Linked DNA regions of Notamacropus eugenii. The protein of the gene in region 1 interacts with the protein of each later gene in a pairwise test. Links are inferred from orthologs where the notes say so. Each region holds a gene or a part of one and is shown in the gene's direction. Other genes may lie near its edges.

The links. The genes of interacting proteins can lie anywhere in the genome.
Region 2: the proteins of KAT5 (region 1) and PLA2G4A interact in a two-hybrid assay, tested with the Homo sapiens proteins (2 studies listed by BioGRID). The link is inferred for Notamacropus eugenii from reciprocal best matches to the Homo sapiens genes KAT5 and PLA2G4A.
Region 3: the proteins of KAT5 (region 1) and LZTS2 interact in binary tests that used the Homo sapiens proteins (3 or more experiments, as listed by UniProt). The two-hybrid records come from large-scale screens. The link is inferred for Notamacropus eugenii from reciprocal best matches to the Homo sapiens genes KAT5 and LZTS2.

What each region holds. Positions count from the first base shown.
Region 1 is NC_092873.1:18,452,240-18,460,120, forward strand, and holds the start of KAT5 (histone acetyltransferase KAT5), read left to right. Parts: upstream 1-4,856; 5' UTR 4,857-5,126; coding exon 5,127-5,138; intron 5,139-5,243; coding exon 5,244-5,310; intron 5,311-6,042; coding exon 6,043-6,111; intron 6,112-6,230; coding exon 6,231-6,367; intron 6,368-6,739; coding exon 6,740-6,922; intron 6,923-7,059; coding exon 7,060-7,134; intron 7,135-7,224; coding exon 7,225-7,299; intron 7,300-7,386; coding exon 7,387-7,635; intron 7,636-7,881. UniProt on the Homo sapiens protein: Catalytic subunit of the NuA4 histone acetyltransferase complex, a multiprotein complex involved in transcriptional activation of select genes principally by acetylation of nucleosomal histones H2A and H4.
Region 2 is NC_092873.1:458,076,295-458,083,308, reverse strand, and holds the start of PLA2G4A (cytosolic phospholipase A2), read left to right. Parts: upstream 1-3,983; 5' UTR 3,984-4,089; intron 4,090-7,014. UniProt on the Homo sapiens protein: Has primarily calcium-dependent phospholipase and lysophospholipase activities, with a major role in membrane lipid remodeling and biosynthesis of lipid mediators of the inflammatory response.
Region 3 is NC_092872.1:178,969,485-178,977,497, forward strand, and holds the start of LZTS2 (leucine zipper putative tumor suppressor 2), read left to right. Parts: upstream 1-4,982; 5' UTR 4,983-7,340; coding exon 7,341-7,811; intron 7,812-8,013. UniProt on the Homo sapiens protein: Negative regulator of katanin-mediated microtubule severing and release from the centrosome. Required for central spindle formation and the completion of cytokinesis.

The sequences.
Region 1 (7,881 bases):
ACAAGGAGATCTCAATTCTCTTTTGGGCCGCATAGATGCTTTTCTTAGCTCTTAATGTAAAAGGATTTTGCTGATGCGGAAATTATATTAATTCTAAATTGATTCTAAAATAAACTGGTGGAAAATTTGGATTTTTTAATCAATAAAAGTATCAGAAGAAAAAGGTGAACAATGAGCTCTCTATGAAATCTTGGTTTTCATTTTCTCATTTAGACCTGGTTGGATTTAAACAAAGCTTAAAACTGGGAACAGAAAACGTCAGAACTGGGAGGAGATTTAGTCCATATACTACAGAATATCAGAGCCTAGATAGCCTTAATAACATAGGTTATCAGAACTAATAGGGCCCTTTGTTCAGTTATGTCCAATTCTTCACGACCTCATTTGAAGTTTTCTTGGTGAAGATACTGGAGTGGTTTGCCATTTCTTTTTCCAGTTCATTTTACAGATGAGAAAACTGAGGCAAATAGGGTTAAATGACTTGCTCTGGGTCACGCAGCTAAGTGTCTGAGACCAGATTTGCATTCAAGGCGAGTCTTCCTGACTCCAGGCCCCACACTCTATCCACTGTGCCACCTTGATGCCTGAAAAGGCCTTTAGCATGTGGAATATCAGCACATAAGACTCAGGGAACATCCAATACCAAATGTCAGTGTTGGGAGTGATCTCAGAATATAGAATATATAATGTCAAAGCTTAGATGAATATAGAATATCAGAGCTAGGAAAGACCTGAGAACATAGGACATCAGATATGAGGAGACCTTTGATGGTCAAAGCTAGTAAGGGCCTTAGAACATAGAATATCAGAGATGTGAGTGACCTTAGAACACAGAATGTTAAAGTTTACCAATGATCTCTTAGCAGCCTTTTCTCATTCCTTATTCTCCTTGGCTTCTCTGCAACCTTTGATAATAGTGGTCACTCTCTCCTCCTTGACACTGTTTCCTTTGTTGGTTTTCAGGACACCTTTCTCTCCTGGTTCTTCTCTGACCATTCTTTCTGTCTCTTTTGCTGGATCCTTCTCCAGATCATGCTCTCTTCCCTAGGCCCCTCCTCTCTTGGACCCTCTTCTCTTCTCTCTCTCCATTTCACTTTGTGATTTTATCAGTTTCCATGGATTTAATTACCACTTTTATGCCGATGATTCTTAAATTTACCTATCCTGCCTTAACTCTGCTGATTTCCAATTTCATATCTCTGCCTTTCAAGGCATCTTGATGTCCAGTAGACATCCTAAACTCAGTATTGTCCAAACCATCCCCACTTCCTACTTTCCTGTTACTGTAGAGGGCAACACAATCCTCCCAGTCCCCCAGGCTCCCAATTTAGGAGTTATTCTGGACTACTCCCTCCCTCCCTTTCCCCCATCCAATATGTTGATTTCTCCCCCTCCAGCCTCCTTGTTCATTTCACCTCTGGTTGATTTCTCCTCTCTAGCCCTTCTTGTTGATTTCTCCTCTGTAACACCTCTGATTGATTTCACTTCTGCAGCATCTTCCCATTATACCCCCTTCTCTCCTCATCACCACAAGCCTGGATTAGTTGCTGGTGAGTCTGCCTGCCTCAAGTATCTCCCCACTCCAGTCCAGCCACCATAGAGCTGCTAAAATGATTTTCCTAAAGAGCAGGTCCTACTTACTGTTTTTGGTGTTTGAAGCTCCTATCTACTTTTCCAATCTTCTTACACCTTATTCCCTGACTTGTACTCTTTGATTCAGTAACACTGGCCTCTTTGCTGGTCCATGAACAAGACCCTCCAATTCTTGGATTCAGGTACTTCCTCTGGCTGCCTCCTGTGCCTGGAACATTGTCTCTCCTCATCTCCGACTGCTGGCCTCCTGACTTCTTGTATGTCCCAACTAAAAGCCCATCTTCTCCAGGAAGCCTTTCTCTTTCCCTCTTAGTCCTAGTGCTTTCCCTCTGTTAATTATTTCCTATTTTTCCTGTTTATATGGCATGTTTGTACATAGTTTGTTGCATGTTGGGGAAACCCCTAAAGGGATTGTGAGGTCCTTGAGGGCAGAGACTATCTTGCCTTTCTTTGTATCCCTAGTGCTTAGCATAGTGCTTAATTCATGTGTATTGGCTGTCTGAGAGTTTACAACATAGACTATCAGAGCTAGGAAAGACCTTAGAACCTCAAATGTCAAAGGTCAAGCTTTGACTTTAGCACAGAACATAGCATTTGTTCATCAGGTAGGATGTCTCTGAGAAAGCTTATCTAAGGTGGGAGCATCTTTAGAACATACTAAGAGATGGTAAGAGGCAACACAGTATGTGACAGCAGAACATGGGATATCTGAAACTGAAGGGAACTAATCTGAAGCGTGGATGGGTATTACAACATAGACATGGATTGTTAGTGTATGATGGGAGGGACCTGAGAACAAAACCTATCAGAAGGGACCCTTGAATAAAGACTGCTGGAAATGAGGAGGGCATTTGAAGAAAGAATGTCAGAGCTTTGAAAGGCCTTAGAGAACTGCATGTCAGGGCTGGCTTGGACCTTAGAACATAGGACTTGCTGAAGTGGATGGGACATTACAGCATCAAGCAGAGAATATCAGACTAGCAGGGACCAGAAACTGGAGAACCTAAATGCTATTAGCTAGATAACACTGAATATCAGAGCTGAATGTATCCTTAGGGCAGTTTGGTATAGTGAAAGAAGCATGAGTTGGGAAATCAGAGGAACTGGGTTCAAATCCCACCTCAGCCACTGAGACTTAACCTCCCTAGACCTCAATTTCCTCATTAATAAAATGGTAGAGGTGTTAGACTAGTTGATTTCTGAGGTCCCTTTATCTCCAGATATGTGATCCCAGAAAGACAAGAATGTCTTACCTGGGAGAAGTCTTAAAAAGTAGAACAGAGAATGTCGAAGCTTGTACGAGCCTTGGAACATGGACTGTCAGAGCTTACTTAGGTCACACAGTGTAGAAGAGCAGCGTTGGGACGGAACTTAGATTGTAGATTATCAGAAAGGGGAAAGAAATTAGAACACAGATTGTCAGAACTGGGAGGGTGCCTTAGAACATAGAGGAAAAAAATGTCTAATCATGGTTTTTAAAAGACAAGGCTATGGAATGTTATCCTGCAAGTCCGCTGAGTGTTTATTAGTCTATTACTGTATGCCAGACACTGTGTTAAGCTTGGGGGATACAAAGAAAGGCAAAAGACAGCCCCTACTCTCGAGGTGTTACAGTCTGATTAGAGACAACATACAAACATCATACTGTGTACATAAATAGAAGGTATTTCACAGATGTTAAGCACTAGAATTAAAGGGGATCAGGAAAAGCTTCTTGCAGAAGGTGGGGTTGGAGTTGAAACTTGACAGTTTCTGGGAATACCAGGAAGATAGGGATGAAGAGCGGGGAGCGTTGTTACTTTCTCTGGCCTTGGAAAAGTCTTGCTAGACAGTACAAAACAGAACAGAGAATGTTAATCCTCAGAGAGACTTGAAAACCTAGCACAGGGTTTCAGAACTGGAGGAGACCTTAGGACACAGAACATAAGAGATGAAAAGGACCTTGGAATCAATAAACCAACTGCTTGCCAGGCACTGTTTGGGCACTGGAGATACAAAGACAAAAAATAGAAGTTCTTTGTCCTCAAAGATCTGACATTTTATAGGAGTCTAACATGTACACATGTAAATATAGACCTATCTATATAATGATGCCTGATAGAGAATTTAAGAGCATAGAATGTAGACTGTCAGGATTGGCTGGGCAGGTCAGAACTGAGAGGGACCTTAGAATACAAAACATGAGAACTTGGAAGGGCCTCAGAGGGTAAATTGTGAGAAGTTGGAGTCACCTTAGACGTCCTTCAAGAAACTGAGACGGAAGGAAGGGATGTGAACGGACCAAGGTCACACATAACCTCCCAGCCTTTGCAGCATTCCGTTTTCACATCCCTTCATAAAACCACCAGCTGCTGCTGCTCCAAAGGAGCTCATGATCCATTTCCTTCTTCGGTTTAGAAACGTCAAATTGACAACTGCGTTAAAAATTCAAAAGCACATTAATTTTGTTGAAATACTTGTGTTTACGGTGGGAGAGATCCAGGATGAGAACTCACCGCCATAGACAAAGGAGGCCCGTTCATTCCTTGTGATGGTGGCAAAGGTATTCCTCCGTGGTCTCTCCGGTCAGTATTTGCTCCAATTCATTTTGGTAAATCAAAAACAAAGCAATCACTTATTTTAATTAATTGATTTATTGACGGAAGCAAAAAGACCTAGCAAACACGAACTCTGCCTGCGGGGGATCCTCACAACTCACTTGGGACAGGCCCCTCGGCCCAGGCTCGGTTGTCCAAAGAAGGTTTGGGGGAGAAACAGTGGTTGGCAGCGCCCTGGGTTTGACATGCCTCTGCGCTGCATCGTGACTGGGCACTCTGGCAGCGAAATGCCATTCGATCTTCACAACAACCCTGGGGGCCGGGGGTGGGGGCAGGTGCCGTTAGGGCTCCGTTAAGCCGAGACGCAGTGATGTGCCCAGGGTGACAGGACTAACAAGGGTCTGGGCACGACTGGAACTCAGGCCTTCCTGACTCCAGGCGCCCAGCCCGGCCAACCCCGACCCTTTACAGAGGGGGAAACTGAAGCCCAGACTGGAGAGTGACTTGTCCAAGGTCGCTAAGGCAGCTCGGGTGAGCAGCCGCATTCGAACCCAGTGCAGGCCGGATGGAGCACCGCCGCCGCAGTCTGCTGCCCCGCAGGCCGGCCCCGCCCGCACTTCCAGGACCCGGCCGGAACAACAAGCGCGTCACGCGCCCACGTGACTGCGACGCGCTCGAACTACGTGGCGTGAAGGACCCAGCTCTCCTCCAATCAGGCAGCGAGGCGCGAGGCCCCGCCCCGGCCCGGAGCCGGCCCGGGGCCTCGAGGTGGTTCCTGCGCCGCTTGCCCAACCCGGAGCCGAGCGCCCCTGAGGGCCGGCCGCCCTCCCCGCTTGGGCCGCGTTCTTGGCCGCGGGCTCCTCCCGCCCCCGGTCCCCTCCTCCCGGAGCCTCCCGCAGCCCCACACCCTCAGAGCTGCTAGCAGGGAGGCGCCGGTACGCCGGATGTGACGTCACCCCGCGGAGCCGGAAGCGGCTCCTGAGGGAGGGAGGGAAGATGGCGGAGGTGGTGAGTCCGGGGCCCGGCGCGGGGCGGGGCGAGGCGGGGCGGAGGCATCCGCAGGACGGCGGCGACTCCCCCGGCCTCCCCCATTGACCGCGGTGTCTTCCCCAGGGCGAGGTCATCGAAGGCTGCCGCCTGCCCGTGCTGCGGCGTAATCAGGATAACGAGGATGAGTGGCGTGAGTGACGGGGGGCGGAGCCAACGGGCGCCGTGGAGGCGGGGCCTGGGCGCTGGAGCCCTGCAGGGAGGGCGGGGCTTGGGGAGCGAATAGGCGTGGTTCCCCTGAGGGGCGGGGCTGAAACATACCTCGGAGGGAAGGATAAAGAGAGGGCCAGGGCTCGGGGAGGGAGGGACGTGGTCTGAGAGACTCCGGGGAGGGGGCCTGGCCAGAGGCCAAGAGACCTCCTGGGAAGGGATTAGAGAGGGGGCCTGGGGTAAATGGCAAAGGGGCGTGGCTAATTTAAGGATGGAGCCTGAGACCTCCCAGAGTGGGGCTTGGTGGGGTGTGGCTAGAACCTGAAGACTCCACCCACTCATCCACCCACCCCCGGTCTTGGGAGAGGTGAGACTTGGTCTCCAGTTTAGGATGCCTCGGGTGGAGGGCAGGGCGGGGCTAAGGACCCCTAGGAGCCAAGAGGCGGGGCCAGAGTCCTTGGCACCCCCCCTCTCCAAGGGCATTCCAAGGGCAATCTAAGGGCGGGGCCAGGGACTGGTGGGGAAGGGGCAGGACCCAAGCTAAGGAGAGGGGGTGATCTGGGCATCCTGGGGAGGGACTTGGAGGGGGAGAGAAGATACTTTTCTCCAGAGGGTAGAACCAAAGCAGGGGGTGGACATGGAGGAAGCTGGCTCCCAGGGACAAAGTGGGGTCTGTGCCCAGCACCCCTCCAAGACTCCTGCCTCTCCCTCGCAGCTTTGGCCGAGATCCTGAGTGTGAAGGACATTAGTGGCCGGAAGTTGTTCTACGTTCACTACATAGACTGTGAGTGCCACGCCCAGTGGTCCTTGGGTACAGGGCGGGTATCACAGGCATCGGGGGTTGGGAGGATGAGAAGAGCCCTGGGGGACACCTTACATCAGAACTTCTCCACTTCTGTGCAGTCAACAAGCGCCTGGATGAGTGGGTGACCCATGACAGGCTGGACCTAAAGAAGATCCAGTTTCCTAAAAAAGAGGCGAAGACCCCCACAAAAAATGGGCTCCCTGGGTCCAGACCGGGCTCCCCTGAGAGGGAGGTGGTGAGTAGAAGCAGTATCCAAATCAACCTGGAGACAGTTCCCAGGAGGATGGTCAGGCCCCGCCCCCATCTCGCTTGTCCCTGTCGTGCTTAACCCATGGTTTTGGGGCTCCTGTGCCGCAGGCTGAGGATGAGAAGGGGAACAAGGCAGCCCTGCTATAGTGGCCGCAGCCTGGAGAGGCTCTGTAGAGATTCAGGTCGGGTCAGAGGGAGGAGGTGGTGTTACTGAATCTTAGGTTTCAAAATTCAGTCACCAAACCCCACATAGCTGGGGTGGGAAGCCAGCCCAAGGGGAAGGGGTGGGGGGGTGAACCCACCTGGCTGATGGGGGCCCCCTCCTCCCCTCCCCCTCGCTCCCTTCCCCCTCCCCCAGAGGAAGACCCTGGACCTATCTCTACAGCCGGCTTCGGCCCAGGCCAGTGGGAAGACACTGCCGATCCCGGTGCAGATCACGCTCCGCTTCAACCTACCCAAGGAGCGCGAGGCCATCCCCGGCGGCGAGCCTGACCAGCCCCTCTCCTCCAGCTCCTGCCTGCAACCCAACCACCGTTCCACGGTACCCTCGGATTCCACTCTTCACCTGGAGCTCCGGAGCCCAGCTCCCTCGTCCCCACAGTTCCTTGTGAGCTCGCTTCCTTCCAAGACCCAGGTCCCCTGCCCCTTTGACCCACCTTTCTCGGTCTCTCTCTGCAGAAACGGAAAGTCGAAGTGGTTTCACCAGCAACTCCCGTGCCCAGCGAGACAGCACCAGCCTCTGTCTTCCCTCAGGTGTGTGCTTGAGACCCCCTTGGTGCCCCTGAGCCCATGCCCTTGAGACCCTCAGCTCATTCCTTCCTTCCCCCTCCTGTGTCTCCACAGAATGGTTCAGCCCGGAGGGCACTGGCTGCCCAGCCAGGACGGAAGAGGAAGTCCAACTGTCTAGGCACAGATGAGGTGAGTCTGGTAAGGGTGGAGTAAAGGGAGCCAAGTCAGGGGAGGGTGGCATGCTCATGCCTTTCCCTGCCCTGTGGCCACCGACAGGACTCACAGGATAGCTCGGACGGAATCCCGTCGGCCCCTCGCATGACAGGCAGCTTGGTGTCTGACCGCAGCCACGACGACATTGTTACCCGCATGAAGAACATCGAGTGCATCGAGCTGGGCCGCCACCGCCTCAAGCCCTGGTACTTCTCCCCATATCCCCAAGAACTAACTGCCCTACCTGTGCTCTATCTCTGCGAATTCTGTCTGAAGTATGGGAAAAGCCTCAAGTGTCTGCAGCGTCACCTGGTACGTCATTGGGGCCTCCCTCCCCTAGCCTCCTGTCACTGTCTGAGCACCTACTATATATGCTACACACTGTACTAAGCTTTGGGGAAGCAAAGAAAGACACAATCTCAGTCCTTGTCCCCAGGAGCTCACAATCAAATGGGGAGATATGTGCTTGAGTCCTCATGTCTGATGAAGAGAGAGTAGGTGGGAGAGAGCCTTAGAAGGGAGAGGCCAAGCAGTGGGTCGAGTTGGGCTCCTGCATCC
Region 2 (7,014 bases), about 440 Mb from region 1:
AAAGCTTTTGAAGTTAAATGAATCAGTACTTGGCTTGTTCCATAATTCTTCTTATGGTTTGCTGTGGAATTAGAACTTTAATGACTGTATCAATGGCCTGCTCTGGCAAAATTTGAACTTGTTAAAATTCATCTTCAGCATCCTCTATGTTTGTATGCTCTTCCCTAATTTGATGTCTCTGAAATTAATCCTAATTCTACCCCTACCTATCCTCTGTTGTGCTGTATCATGCAAATCAGTCTTCTCTAAATCATTCCAAGATTTTGATCTTTTTCATTTCTCCACTCATCAAAATTTACCCATTCTTTGTCCTGCCACCACAGGTCCAGTGATCTCTGCTCATGTGTTAGTGGACGGTAGTTAATGAGCCTACATTTGCCTATCTGCAAAATGGGAAAAATACTAGCACCGACCAATAGGGTTGCTGTGAGGATCAATGGCTTTACAAACTCTGAAGTCCCATAAAAGTGGGAAGTATTATTCTTCAGCTAAGTTTAGTCTCTAACACATTGGAAGCTAGTGGCCTGAGCTCACTATTTCAGGACATGTGGAATGATCACTGCTGCCCATCTCCCACAGCCAACACTATGTGTACCACTCACTTTTCCCTTTAATCACATCCTGTATCATATTGTTTACTGTGTTTCATATCTCTATGTCTTCTCTTCCTGAGTAGATCACAAACTTCTTAAAGATAGACAGACATTGAATTATATAACAGTAGTAATGCAGCGATAATCACACTTTTATACTTCTTTAAGGTTTGTGAAATACTCTTATTATAACAGGTTGGTTTTTTGTTTTTCTGTCAAGGCAGTTGAGGTTAAGTTACATATCCAGGGTCACACAGTAAGTGTCAAATATCTGAGGTCAAATTTGAACTCTGGTCCTCCTGATTCCAGAACTGGTACTCTATCCACTGTGCGACCTTGCTGCCCCTTATAAGAATGTTATGAAGAGGTATTATAAGTGTAATAGGGGACTGGCTCCTGGGGGCCCATTTCTGGGAGCCTGTCCAACAGATTTCTCCTGCTGTCAATTCACATGGTAGTTTGGCTGAGTCAACTTCTGAAAGCGTGTGATGAGGTGGAGGGCCCCAGCACTCCTCTACAGAGAATTTGCAGAAATTCTGCAATTGTTTCCTGTTTGTTTACTGAGTGGTGAAGAAAGATCTTTTGATTGGCTGCTGGGCTGGAAGTGAATATTCATAGAAAGGACAGTAATTAGTCAAATCAACTTCCCTTTTCCTTGATAGTAATCAAGGGAAAAACTTGCTTCGAGCCCCCAGATAGCAACAGAGGCCTCAGACCCTTATCTACGAATCTGGGCTTCTGGGTGGCCTTGAACATTTGTTAATTTTCTGTCCCTGTCATGTTTTAGCCTTTCTTCCTCTTAGGTGAATGAGTGTAGGGGTTGGAATGGACCAGACCAATGGTTTTAAACTCATCTAGAAACAAGGTCCACCAATCCATACATAAGATCCCTGTGGGTTGCATATTTACTTAGATTTAACATGTAATACTCAAATCCAATTCAATTGCAAGTCATGTCATCATCTTCCTGATGTCATGGTCTTCTTTGAGAACAAAGGACAAACCACACAATGTTTTGTTATATTTTAATTTATTTTGTAAATATTTGCTGTTTTATTTATTATTGAAAAATAAAGTTTAAATTATTTACTCTCTCATTACTATTATTATTATTATTTAATAAATAAAATTTAAATGAATTGTTTACTATTTGGTTAAATATTTATTTTTTGTTTGGACAGTGCTCCAGAGTGTTATGCAGCTCACTGGCCAGATTCTTGACACTTCCAGACTAGGCTGCAACTCTGTGCTTTGAAAGAGCCTCTAGATGTCTAGGAACTTGATTTTGTCCCATAGTTTGGCTAGCTAAGCCCAGCGAGAAGTGTAGCCCCAAGGAGTAACCTGAGGGATCCATCCCAGAAGTCATTTACCCCAGGCAGTCAAGGGACCAACCACTCCAGAGTAACTTGTTCATAAGCCACATGGCACCCAGAATGGACATTGATAGGGCAAAGTCTGGTGGCAGCACCTTAAAGTTGAGCTCATTCTCCACAGGGACTGAGGTGGTAGAGGGAAGACTATGTCTCAGTTAAAGGGAAGGTATTTTCCTTTGGTTCATGATAAATTTTCTCAGTAATTATACTGTTTTAAGAACTAGTTGATTTCAATTATTTATTGATGAGATTGAGAAGCTGTTAAGTGATATTGGGCTGCTAATCACTAGCAGTGGTATTGGCGGAATAAATTAGAATAGGGGTCAGATGATACCATTAGAACCTCTTGAGGTTACCCCTAGAATCCTTGAATAGAGTGGTGATGCAGTTGAGTTCTGGTGACCCAGCTCTTCAATACAAGGAGATCTGGTGTTGAGAAAATACGTCCAGAGCTTAAAGGACTACATAAGTACCCCGAAGGGTAGCGAAGTGGTGTAGTAGATATAGCACTGGGTCTAACGTCTGGAAGACCTGAGTTCAAGTGTGGCCTCAGATACTTACTAGCTGTGTGACTCTGGGCTAGTTACTCTACTATATTTGTCTCGATTTCCTCATCTGTAAAATGACCTGGAGAAGGAAACAACAAAGCAGTATCTTTGCCAAGAAAACCCCAAATGAGGTCACAAAGAGTCAGACAGGACTGAAATGACCAAACAATAGGTATCATGAAACCTATTTTACATTGTAGATATGGAAAGGTAATGTGATAGGAGTGACTAAAAAGTTAATCTAGAAACAAGGAAGAACTGTGTTCAAGTTATGTCTGATACATACTGCCTACTTGACTGTGTGGGTACCTACTTGCACCATGCCAATGAAATCTCTATTCTAGTGCCCTATTCTGCTGATGAAGAAACATGAGGCTCAGAAAGGTATAGGGACTTGCCCAAAATCAAAGGACTATGAAGTGTCAGAATTAGAGTCTAGACCCAGCTCCATATCCAGTACTCAACTTTGTGTCTCCCCCAGACTGAAGCATTTGATACTTGTTCTAGTTAAATTATATATTGAAATAGTCTTTCTTTCTTCACTTCTGCCTGAGGGAGGAAAGATAATTAGAGCAAAATAAAAGTAACGTTAAGTATGAGACCTCTACTCCCATTTTCTTTGCCACTTATACGTAATAAAACATTTCACCTTTCAAGGCATGCTGGTCAGTCTTCAGACCAAGACCTTATGAAATTGAAGATGTGATTCATCTTTTGAGAGATCTGTTAAATAGATTTGTAATGAACCCTCAAATTCAGCCTTTAATCAGGTTGAGAAACCAATCAAGAACAAGATAATAATCCAGGAATTGAATCTAGAAGCCCTGTGGCATTGGGGTTAACAAGGAATTTTCTTTGCAAAGAGTAAAGAAGAAAACACAAATGCATATTGCCACTGATTAAAGTACCAAATGGAAGATATGTGTTTGAATACGACGAATAGAAAGCATAATGTTTATGGATCCCACGTCATCAATGTGTGGCAGTCAGACTTTAATTCAACAGTGGACATTCTTCAGTATAGGGGCCCAAGTTTTCTGGAGTCAGCTTGGATGCTCTGAACTACTTAGGGACTTTGGACCAGTTTAAATACTCTATATGAATTGATTGCAGTTTGCTTTTTAAATTCAAATGACAGCTACTTGGCACTCAATTCAGATGTTCTTTAAAAGTCAAAATTATAATTCATTACTTAGCTATCAAGCTGCCTTGCTATATATAGTTATAAAAACAGAGGAAACAGGGGTTACTTCAAGGAACTCAATGGTAAAAAGAATTTGTTTACGTATATTTTATATTCTTGTGGGTTTTTTTTTTTTTGCATTGCTTCGACAACTTTTCTGGGTTCACAGGCTTCACATTTCTAGACTGCTTTTCTAATTCCCTGCTAACTTTTCCCCTTCTTCAATTCCACCTTAAAACATCTGCCCAACCAGCTAGACCAGCCCACAACCTAGCCCCTCCCACTTAGATGATTTTTTTAAAACTTGTCCATACCCAGGCACTGAAAAAGAAGCCTTGCAGAAAGCTAAAGGGATAGACCGATCTGAAGATTCTAGTATACATTCAAGAACTGTAAGCAACATACTTACTCTTCCTTTTTTTTTTTTTAAGAAAAAAATTCCATTCGTTGCTAGTTTGTTAAATTTGTCAGGATAGAAAACCGTGGAAGGAGGCAAAAAAAGGCACAAGTTTTTCAGTCTGCATGTGACTTGACTTTTGAAAGGGGAAGCAGAGCCTTGAGAACGCCTGTTTCTTTTTAGCAAATGTGTACTTGTTTTACGAGGTCTATGAAAAAGAAAATAATCAGAAAAGGTGCTTTACCTAGCTTGGAACCTTGAAAGAAGCTTTTAAAGAGCAGTTAAGGTAGTGCTGTACCACTTCCACGTGATTGTGTAGCCCAATGATTGCTGTTCCTTAAACTTTAGCACTGTGACTACTTGACAACTCAAAGACTCCTAGGAAGAGATGGATTATATTCTCTTATTTGATTCTCTCTGAGTTTTTCTTCTCTTTTCCTTGTTTTCTTCTAATTTCTTCCTTTCCTCCTCCTTCCCTCCCCCTTTCTCCCTTTGTTCCTCCCCTTCCTTTCTTCCTTCCCTTTCTTCCTCCCTCCCTTCTTTGCTTCCTCCCTTCTCTCCCTCCCTTCTTCCTTCCTTCCCTTCTTCCCCCCTTCTTCCTTTTTCCCTCCCTTCTTTTCTCCTTTCTTTCTTCCTTCCTTCCCTACTTCCCTCCCTCCTTCCTTCCTTCCTTTCTCTCTTTCTTTCCCTCTTTCTTTTTGTCTTTCTTTCTCTCTTTCTTCCTTTCTCTGGAAATTCCAGATGTTGCAACATGAAAGAAAGCAAAGATTAATGTAGGATCTGGACCAGTGATGTCATTGGTACTGTGAACTTTCAGGTGATGTAACTCTCTACCAATGAAGATTCTCTGCAATTTATAGTATGAGAATTGTCTAGAGCACCAAAAGGGTAAAGTGACTTATCCTGAGTCACATAGCCAGTACCTGTCAGAGGCAGGATCTGAATCCAGGTCATCATGACTTCAAATTCTTCTCTCCATCCATTATTTCACTGTGCCCCTAGACTTAAAATGATTTTGGCAATATTTGTTTATGATGGAATATCACCTATTAGTAATAATATAGATGGTCAAAACAATAATTGTAATCTGACTTGCAGTAACTACAGCACAGATAGAGATGTTTGAAGGAAGATGAATAACAACAATTTTGTAATTTGAGAGTGGAAAATGATTTAGGAATTCTATTTTGGGGTAAGGAGATTTAAGGAGGGAAAGTAGAAAAAGTTGTTTTAGAATGGAATAGGCAGAAGCCATGAAAAGGAAAGAGAAAAATATAGATTTTGTTTTGTGGCTGTTTTAATTTAATTTAATATTGTTTGCAGTTTGTTAGTTGCCTTTCACAATCAAAATTATTTTATTTCTTAAAAGAAAATGTAAAATTCTTTTCTTATTTGTGTTAGTTTGTTGGATTAGGTGATTTTCTGTGCATATGTTATCTTGCTCCATATGTATTCTAAATATAGGTAGAGATTTTTTTTAAAAAAAAGTAGCTTGGGACTGGATAAAGATAAAATACATTCTTTGGATTTCAAAATAAGTTGGATGATAATAGGAAAGACACAGGATTGGGGGTCTGACTAGTTAAGGTCTCATCCTGGTTCTGCCATTAATTTTTTTTTTGTGACATTTGCAAAACTATTTAATGAGTGTAAGCCTCAGTTTCCTCATTCGTAGAATGACATGGTCATATTAGATTAACATCTAACATGAATGATCTATGATTCTACATGATGTAATCTAACTTTACCACAACCTAGAATTATATTTTAATTTTACTTAAAAATAACCTTATCATAAAACACAGAAAAAGAAATTTGCACCTGCTATTGGTGGATGACAAAAAATGATGTATCAACTAAAGCTGGCAGAGCATGCTGGGATCAGCATTGCACCATTCATTTGTTCTGGAAGATGCTTTCTATCTAAAAAAAAATGAGTGTCTAAGAGATAGTAAAAATGCTCAGACTTCAGCAGCTAAAATATCTCACTGCTCCATGTAAAGCAGTTCAAACAAGATTAAGAGGGAATGTTATTAGGAAAACTGGAAATGAAAAATAACAACACTTCTTAGAAGGTTTCACATTTTAAGTAGCCCATATAGCCATAAGCAAGCCTGTTTCTCCAGTTCATTTTAGGTAAGAGATTGGAATCCTCCCCTTTAATGGAGCATTGTAAGAGTTAAATGGTAACTGAAGCAATTCTTGTGAAATGTATAGAGAAGTAAATGTTTAATCTGTATATGCAGAAAGCAGTTTACAAACTTCCTGTAGAGGAAGCACTTTTTTAATTGGAGAAAATAGAGCTCCTTCTGAACAATTTAAGTAATTTAAAAGTTTTTGACAAGAATTCTTGGTTTAGGGTGTTGGAGAAAAATTGTGAAGCAGATTCCTGAATCTCTGACAATGTTTAGTAATAGAAATAAGTGGTTCTTATTCCTAGCCAACAGTAAGTCCTGTTAGCCCTGCTTATCTACAGAGTGTGGTACTTTCAAAATTAGAACACTTTAAAGGCAGGGAGTAAATGGAATAGCTTAAGATTATATCCATTTAAAAATAGTTTGCAAGTAGAAAAGAGGAAGACCTAGAATTAGTTTGTGGTTCATTTTCCTTAGACATGTCTTACACTAGCCAACTCCTTTTTTTTTTTCCATAGCTTTAGAAAATAAAAACTAGAAGCTTTGTGTCATACGAAAATATTCTCCAGAATGTTTTCATGACACATTGAATTACTGAAACTTACAAAGAACTAGTTAAAAAGAACTAATGGTATGGAAAGGAAATTTTGACCCCAAATAAAGTCCTTAAAGGCCCCTCTTCCTCTTACTCATTCCTCCCAGCAGTGCAAGGGCTTCTTGTATTGCATTTTAGACTTTAGTGACACAGCAAAAAACAGGACTTTTTGATATTCTTCTTCTAAGTA
Region 3 (8,013 bases), on another chromosome or scaffold:
CATGCTCAAAAGCATGGGAGCAGCAAGCACACAGCCTTGTTTTTCTCCATTGCTGACTGGGAAAGCTGGAGATATTATCCACTCTCTAGAACTCATGCAAGCAAGCCATCATGAAGTTGATGTACGATACTGATGAACTCTGGGCAACTAAATTTTGCCATAATTTTCCACAAGCCTTCATAACTGACAAAAGGCTTTGGTCTGATTGACAAACATGTACGGATGTCTATTCTACTGTCATCTCTCTTGGAGTTGTCAGGCCCATATTGCCTATTCCTCAGCTCTCTCTGAAGCCAGTATGGCTCTTGGGTAGATGACTGTATTCTAGGTGAAGCATCAGCCTATTAAGTAGGGCTCTATCAAGAATCTTTCCAGCAATGTCTAAGAGAAACACTCTCCTGTGATTGTCACAGGATAATCTATTTCCTTTATCTTTATAGCAACAAACAATATAAAGATCCTTGAAGTCCTGCGGTATAACCACCTCTTGCCATGTAACTTGGAAGATTTCAGCCAGCTTTTGTATGAGCAGTTGACTCCCTGCCTTGTAAATTTCAGTTAGAATCCAATCAACACCAGGCATTTTGCCATATGAAAGGCACCTAATGGCATTTAAAACTGTTTCATTTGGAAATTTGGCTAAAATGGCAAAACAGCATGGGTGATGTCTTTTTGGTATAAATTAAAGTGAGGCAGAGTTGCACATAATCATCATCCTTACTCTTCCAGAGTCATCGGAGTCCAGTGTCAAGACAAAATCAAGATGACTGATGATGACCTGAGATGCAATGGATGACTGTTGGCATCTGTAATGTCTCCATAGTGCCTGCTTTAGTAGCCATTGTGGCCATTGGAATAAATTGTTCTCCACTCATTCCACCTGGGAAATCTTCACATACTTGGGATAGTCACTCCCTAAGACCCCTTGGTCACTCAACATAGTTTAGCCATCTGCTGAAATGGTTTACTGAGCATGCTACAACTTCTTGGAACCACAGGTGAGAGGGGGATGAATCAAACAGACACCAAAGGTGGATGAGCAGCCCTCACTAGTCTTCTCTGAACACACCCTACCCCTCTTACACTTTTATTAAAAAAGATGTTTTGATTTTTTATTTTTAGCTTTCTGTGATTGCCACCTATGACCACCAGGTGTCAGTGGTGCCCCCAATACCATGATGCCAACATCTCCTGTCCTTGTTTCTTATCCTTAGGATAGAGAATGAGGGTGTCCACCCAAGCCCCTGACCTGGAGACCCTCTATCTTTGCTTCCCAGCAGCCCTTTGAATTAGAGCCAGGAAAATGGTATCAAGATGGGGGGGGGGGCCCAATCTGACCCTGTAAACTTGGCTTTTCCTGCTCTCCCTTTCCTGCCATCATCCCAGATCCCTTTCCCATCCTACCCAAAGTATGGAAAGCAGGGGTGGTACCAGGCCAGTATCCATGATCCTTTCAAGGGGCTGGGCTCAGCCATTAGAGTCTTATAGTACATTTATGTGTATCCATCTGTGTGTTTACATGCATATCTGCAGAGTGGCAATGGCTGGTAGTACTGGCTTGATGAATGTTAAGAGTAGATCAGGATGAAGCCCCACTCCTGTTAGCCTTGCTGTGTTGGGGGTGGAGGGAAAGGACTATTCTTGGGCAGTTTTCAGGGATAGGTAGAAAGTTTTGTTGTATAGTGGGATACAGCTCCTGGTTTCTCTGGGTCTCAGGCTGGATAGAGCTGAGACTTTTGTTTTAATAATTCCTAGCTTTGAGCTGGCCAGGATGAGAGACTTAGGCAGAGACTCTATAGTACAGCCAGTCCTCAAAACTGCACATCCCTGGGAAGGGGTGTATGATTAGCCTAGCCTATGTGAACAGTATGGATTCCTCAATGGACCTTCCTCAGGATGCCCTTTGTGGAGCTTGGAGGAATTGGTAAGTAAAATCCTGGGCCACCGGTGCTGCCTCACATTCAGAAAAACCCACGCGGTACAAACCAGAATGGCCAGGGAAAAGAAGCTACACAACCTCCCTTATCTCCCCTCCCCTCCTCAGCCCCACCCTTTAAACAAACACACACCTTAACAAACACCCTGTACCCATGCAAGAACAGATACATGTTCCTGGAACCTCAGATCTACAGTGGGGTTTTCTGCAACTCTCTCACTAAAACGTGAGGGTGGGCCCAGGCAGAACCTACTTCATCGGCCTCAGTTTACTCATTTTCCTATTCAACACACATATTAAAGGCCCTTGGAAATGGGGATGAAAACGACCCAATATACTCAAAATTAGCCTTCCAGTAGGGGATAGAGTCCAAAGCCCAGACCTGGGCTAGGTGGGGCCTGATGTAGTCTGGTGCGTGAGTTCAAGTGAGAACTTGATAACTGACGGTTATACTCTGAGCCCTGTGCTAGCAATCACTATCAAGGTTCCTGTTTTCTATGGCTTACGATCTGAAAAACCAGCTGAAGGGACTGGGGGAATGCTTGGCTAAGGAGCTTTTTGTAAGGCCCTGACCTCTGCAGCCGGCTTCCAGCCCTGGGCCCTGTGCTCTCAGTCCTAACGGGGCAGTGTAATAGCTTCAGCCCCTCAGGACCGCTTAGCCTGCTGCACTCCCTCCATTCCCATCCCGTTTCCTGCTTTGGCTAGTTGGGACTTCCAGGACTACGAGAGCGCGGGGTATCTAGTCCTACGAAAAGAGAATACTTAGGGAGGCCTCGCACGGACCCAGAGAAAAGGATGGTCTGGGCCCGGCCCGAGAACGAGGAGTTCTAGCCCTGCTTCACCAGGTCTGCGAAGCTGTTCATGCCGCCGCTTACCCACCCTACCCCCACACGGCCAACGCGGGTGAAATTCGAGTCCCTCTGGGTCACTACACCTTAAGGGGGGAGGGCCCGGAGGGCCGAAGACGCGCCAGACCAGGGTCTGAGCTTGGGGACACAAACAAGGCGGGCCAGCCCCCGCCCCGCCCGAGGGACCCAGGACGCCCAGTGGGAGGCGTCCGTGCGAGGGCACGTGGAGGCGGCAGGAAGCGGCCCGCCGTGGGTAGTTTTGCTTCTAGCAGCATGGGGGGGCGGGGCGCTGTGGGCCCAAACTAAAGTTTAAGGCCTGGGTGTTGGTGTCCTGGGATCTCGGTCTTCCTTCCGAGCAGGGCCTCTAGGGCCGCAAAGTCCTTCGGGGTCCGGGTCGCGGGGGCCAGGCGGGGCCCTCACTCGCCGCAGGCCCTCGGGTGCGGCTCCGCCGGCCCCGCCCCGCCCCTCCCCTCCCGCCTGGGCAGGCGATGGCAGCGGGCGGAGCAGCTGGGAGGCCTCAGCCGGGCGGAAGACTGAGCCAGAAGCTCGGGGCAGCCCTCGGTGAGTGCGGGCTCGGGGAGGGCTCCCTCCGAGGCAGGTCGGACTGGGCGGCAGGAGGGGAAGGCCGGCGCCTGCGGGCTGCAGGAGAGCACTGGCGGCCCGGCCCGGGCCGCGCCAACTAGTCCGGAGACCCACCTTCCCCAGCCGCCCCCCGCCCCCGGCGCGCCGAGAGAGCCAGCTCGCACAAAGAAAGCCGCGGGCGCCCCCCGAGCGTGCACCGGAAGCCTCGTGCGCTAGCCAAGACCCGACGGGTGGAGGGGGCGGGATAGGGCCGGGGGCGGAGCCTGGGAGATTTTGGCCCAGTTCTGGCTTCCCGGCCGGCCAGGCGGTAAACTGGGATCACGTGTCTCCGCGCGGACACGTGGGCGCCGGGCCGGGAGGGGGCGGGGTGTTGGCGAACCCGAAGGCCTGGCTCGGCCCCAGGAAGCCTAGTGGGGGCAAAGAGCTCCCCCCGCCCATCCGGGCCCGCGGCCTTCGAGAGGGAGCAGGGCTGTAGCGAGAAGCCGTCGGAGGATGGGGCAGTGATGGGCGGAAAGCCTGGTCTGTGTCCGAAGTGGCGAGGTTTTCGGAGCGGGAGGGCTTGGGGGCGTGGCTGGTCCCGACGGGGGCGGTGCCTTCGGGGCCGGGGCGGGGCTGTCTTCCCCTTTCGAGGGAAAAAAAGGAAAACAAGACTCTTTCCAGGGAGCTAAAAATAGCCCTGAGGTTGGGAAGGCCAAGACTGCCGGGGGACCGGGGCGGGGAGAACGGCCGTCCGACCGCCCTCCCCTCCCGGGCCGAGGGCCGAGGCCTGGAGGCCCGTCACGTGGTGGTGGTGGTGGTGGGGCGATGTGCCCGGGGCTGGGCCGCGGCCGTCGGTACACGGTCTCCTAATCTCGTCTTGCTTCGGCAGTTTGGGGAGTGGGGGGACCCTTCCCTTAGACGTCTCAAGCGGGGCAGGAACACAGGAAGAGGGGCCCCTGCATCGGCCCCTGTCCGGCCCTGGGTCACGCCAGCAACTGAGGCCCCCCTTGGGGTGTCGGGGTCGCTCGGGATCCTTCTCTCCCGCCCCCCTCCGCAGGAGAATGGGAAGGGGTGGGGGGCTCCGATGCTCGGGCCGGCCTGACCGGGCTGGGAAGGGGAGGAGCCGCAAGGCCTTTTGTGCTGGTACTCGGGCCAGCGGCCAGCCTTAGGCCCCTTGGGGCGGGGGAAGGCCGTGCTGACCCTCGCAGGCCGCCCCCCACCTCTGCATGCTCTCGTGCACACCCCGCGTGGCTTCGTGGGAAGGCGTGCTCCCCACTTCTAGACTCCGGACCTGTTTGGGGCCGCGTTTGACGTGCGTGAATCCCGCGCGAGCAACAGCGCGCATCCGTGCTTACATGTGCACGTCTGTGTGCTTACAGAACACGGGTGACGTGGGCTGCGCGCGTGTCGGAGCCCAGGCGCTGGGGGCGGGGCTACCTCCCCCTTCCCCGGGCTCTGCCCCTCCCTTGCTTGGGTCAGGGAGGGGGAGGGGACGGGAGCCGGGGGGAGGGGAGGCGGAGCCCCGGTCAAGCTCTCGGGGCGTCCGAGGATCCGGGCTGCAGCGAGGGCTCCGAGGGAGCCTCCGGGGTGTGAGCATGGAGCAGCGCGGCGGAGGTGAGGGGGGCAGGCGCGGGGAGGGATGCCGCGGCGCCCCCGGAGTTAGGAGCAGCCGAGGCCCTTCGTTAGCAGACTCCGTGCTAGTCGGGGGGCGCAGAGAGGAGCCTCCCGCTCGGTGTCCGGGGGTTGGATTCCGCTCCCCCACGCTCGCCCCGCAGCCCCGCGGGTTTGGGAGGCAGCTTCCTGAACTCCAGACCCCCAGGGTGGGGGTGGGGGGCGGCGGCGCCGGCAGCTGGAGCGCGCCCAGCCTGGCCCTGGCCCCGAAGTCCGACCTGGGGGTGGGGGTGGGGGAGGGGAGCCGAGGGGCCCCTTCCCCCCGAGCAGACACAGACGCTGCTCAAAATGGAGCCTCCGATAGCCCCTCCCTCCAGCTTGGAAGGAGAGAGCGGGAGCCCGGCCCCCCCAGGCTCCGGCCTAGTCTGGACTTCCAGACTCCGGCTGCCCTGCTCGTCTCCGCCCCCTCTCCCCCTTCCACTTCTGCCAGCTTTCCGCGTCTCCCTGCCTCCCTCCCACCCAGCGCTCCGCACTTTCCTTGTGCTCACAAGGAGGCAGATGGGGAAAACTAGTCCGCCTAGTGACCCCTTAAGACAGCCACCCACCCACCATTGTGGGGGGGGGGGGCGGATCCACTCCTCTGTGCCTGGTAACCTTAAGGGTGGCATATCATCTTCTTAAAACCCCCCCACCCCCAGGAGGTGTCCGGGGCCTGAGCTGTGGTGCATCAGGCTCTCTGGTCTTCAGCTGCAGCTGGAGGGAACCTGATGCTCTCACAGAGACTTCACCAGCCCACTGTCGTGTTTTCATTTGGGGAGGGAGGGGCTGAGGTAAGGAAGAGAGAAGTGGAGTTGAAGGGCCTCCAGGAGTTCAGGTTCACCTTATACTAGATATCTGTCTCAATGCCTTTCCAGTTCTTGAGATAGTTTGATTCTGAAAATGGGGAGAGGACAGGTTTAAAAAGGGGGGGGAGTGGATTTGTATGTGGCCTTCACTGAGCGGGGAATGGGAAAAAACGTACTTCATGTGTGAATTCATACATATACAGCTTCAGTGCTTTGTGTTGAGAGCACACACACACGCACACACTCTTTCGTTTATCTCCAGATCATGTCCTGATGGCTTGAACAGATGTCTAAAACCCTTGGAGGGCTCAGGAAGGGCTGGGGTTCCAGATGGGCACTTCCTCTTCCCAACCTAAGAAGGAGATGAAGCTGAGGGTCAAGGGTCACCAGACCCTCCTCGGTTTAGCTCCAGCTAGATCCTGGGAACATTTGGAGGGGGAGAGTTAGAGCCTGTGTTTTTAAGAACTCTCTACAGGTCATAGCTGACAAGTCTTCCTTACTGGGGTTGTCTCTGTTCCTTAGGACTAATCTGATGGTGAGAGGTTTAGTAGGTGATATTGGGGATAGGGCAGGGTTTGTCATGGAAACTCTGTGTCCCTGGTGAGCTAGGAAGGGGTTCATTAAACCCTCAAATTTTCTTTGGGGGCAGAGACATCTAGGGTGGTTAAGAGTTAAATGTTTTAGGGTTCAGTCTAGCCCAACTTCTTGAAAACTGGGGGTAGGTGGTTTTTATGGGGAGGCAAATGACCACTGATTAATTTGGGGAGCAGTGCATTGACTGGTATGATTTGAGGAGGAAGGGCACAGGCAGCTCTCCGTTCCCTAATTACCATCTGGGAACAGGGATAGTATGTGTGTGGTGTCTCTCTTGCAGTGGGTAGTGAGTTTTCCCTTCCTAAGGGCTGAGCCAGAGAGACCTGCCTACCTCAGAGGGGACAAGAGCCCTAGACCTTAGTGTAGGGGCTCAGCAAGACCTGAAACCTCGGACTGGGGTTTCTGCCCTACCTGGAGGCCCCAGACTCATCTGACCAGTTGGGCCGGCTTGGCCACTTCTCTCCCCCTATCTGGCCCTTGCTCTTGACACCTTTTCCAGCCTCTCTGTACTCTTCCTCCCCTTCTGTTCTCCCATCCTCCTTCCAAGAGAAGCCTATTTCCCATAAAGTTTAAATCTATCTCAGACCCTTGGCCCCTATTGAGATAGAAGGGAGCTCTAGAGACATGAGAAGTCATGACCTTTCCCTTTAGCCTTAACAAGGAGCAAGGAACTAGACATGTCCATCTGTTTGTATGTGTGTATATGTTGGGAGGTAAGTTTTCAGGGTTTGGAAGCAGGGCTTAATAGGACACAGGACAGGCTTAGGATGAGGAGGCTTAGAATTGGGGCTGTTTGGTGGTGGCTGGGGCTTAGGGTCAAGGGCATAGAGAAGAACTGGGGATGGGGAGTTGGCAGAGGAATTTTGGGTGGGTACTGTTTCAACAGTGGGTTATAGTGGGAAGTAGAGGTCTGGCAGAGAGGCTTAGGAATGGGAAGCTTTGACCATGGCCTTCTTCCTTGCACAGCAGGTTGCCTTCAAGGCCTGTGGCCAGGCCACAGTCCTTCCAACCATGGCAATCGTCCAGACTCTGCCCGTGCCCCTGGAAGCTACCCCTGAGAGCACAGTCTCACACCCACCCCACCTGCCCACCATGGGCAGTGTGAGCAGCCTTATTTCAGGCAGGCCCTGCCCTGGAGGAGGGCCTGCCCCCTCGGGACCTCCCTTCTTCCGGCAACAGGATGGTCTACTACTTCGAGGGGGTGGTTGTAGGGCCCAGGAGCCACTGTGCCCCCCAGTACCCACCAGAAAGCCTGTGGGAAATGCTGGCTTCACATACATCAATGAGGACTTTCGGGGAGATTCACCCTCCAGCCCCTGTAGTGACACTGAGGATTCCCGAGAGCAGCAAGCCCGAAGCGCCCATCTCAGGGGCCCACCTCCAAAGCTCATCCCTGTGTCTGGAAAGTTGGAGAAGGTAAGAATGGGACCCTTCCTTTCAAATCCAAATGACTTTTCACAATGTTCAATGAAAGGAGGAGGTGGGATGGGATATAGTACCTTTGATGATTAGCTCTGCTTCCTCGACCAAGGGATTGTCAGGATATAGATAAAGGGAGCACATAGGACTTGGGAGAGGGTACCTCCTAGTAGCTAGGTGGTAGTACTTTGTTACTCTG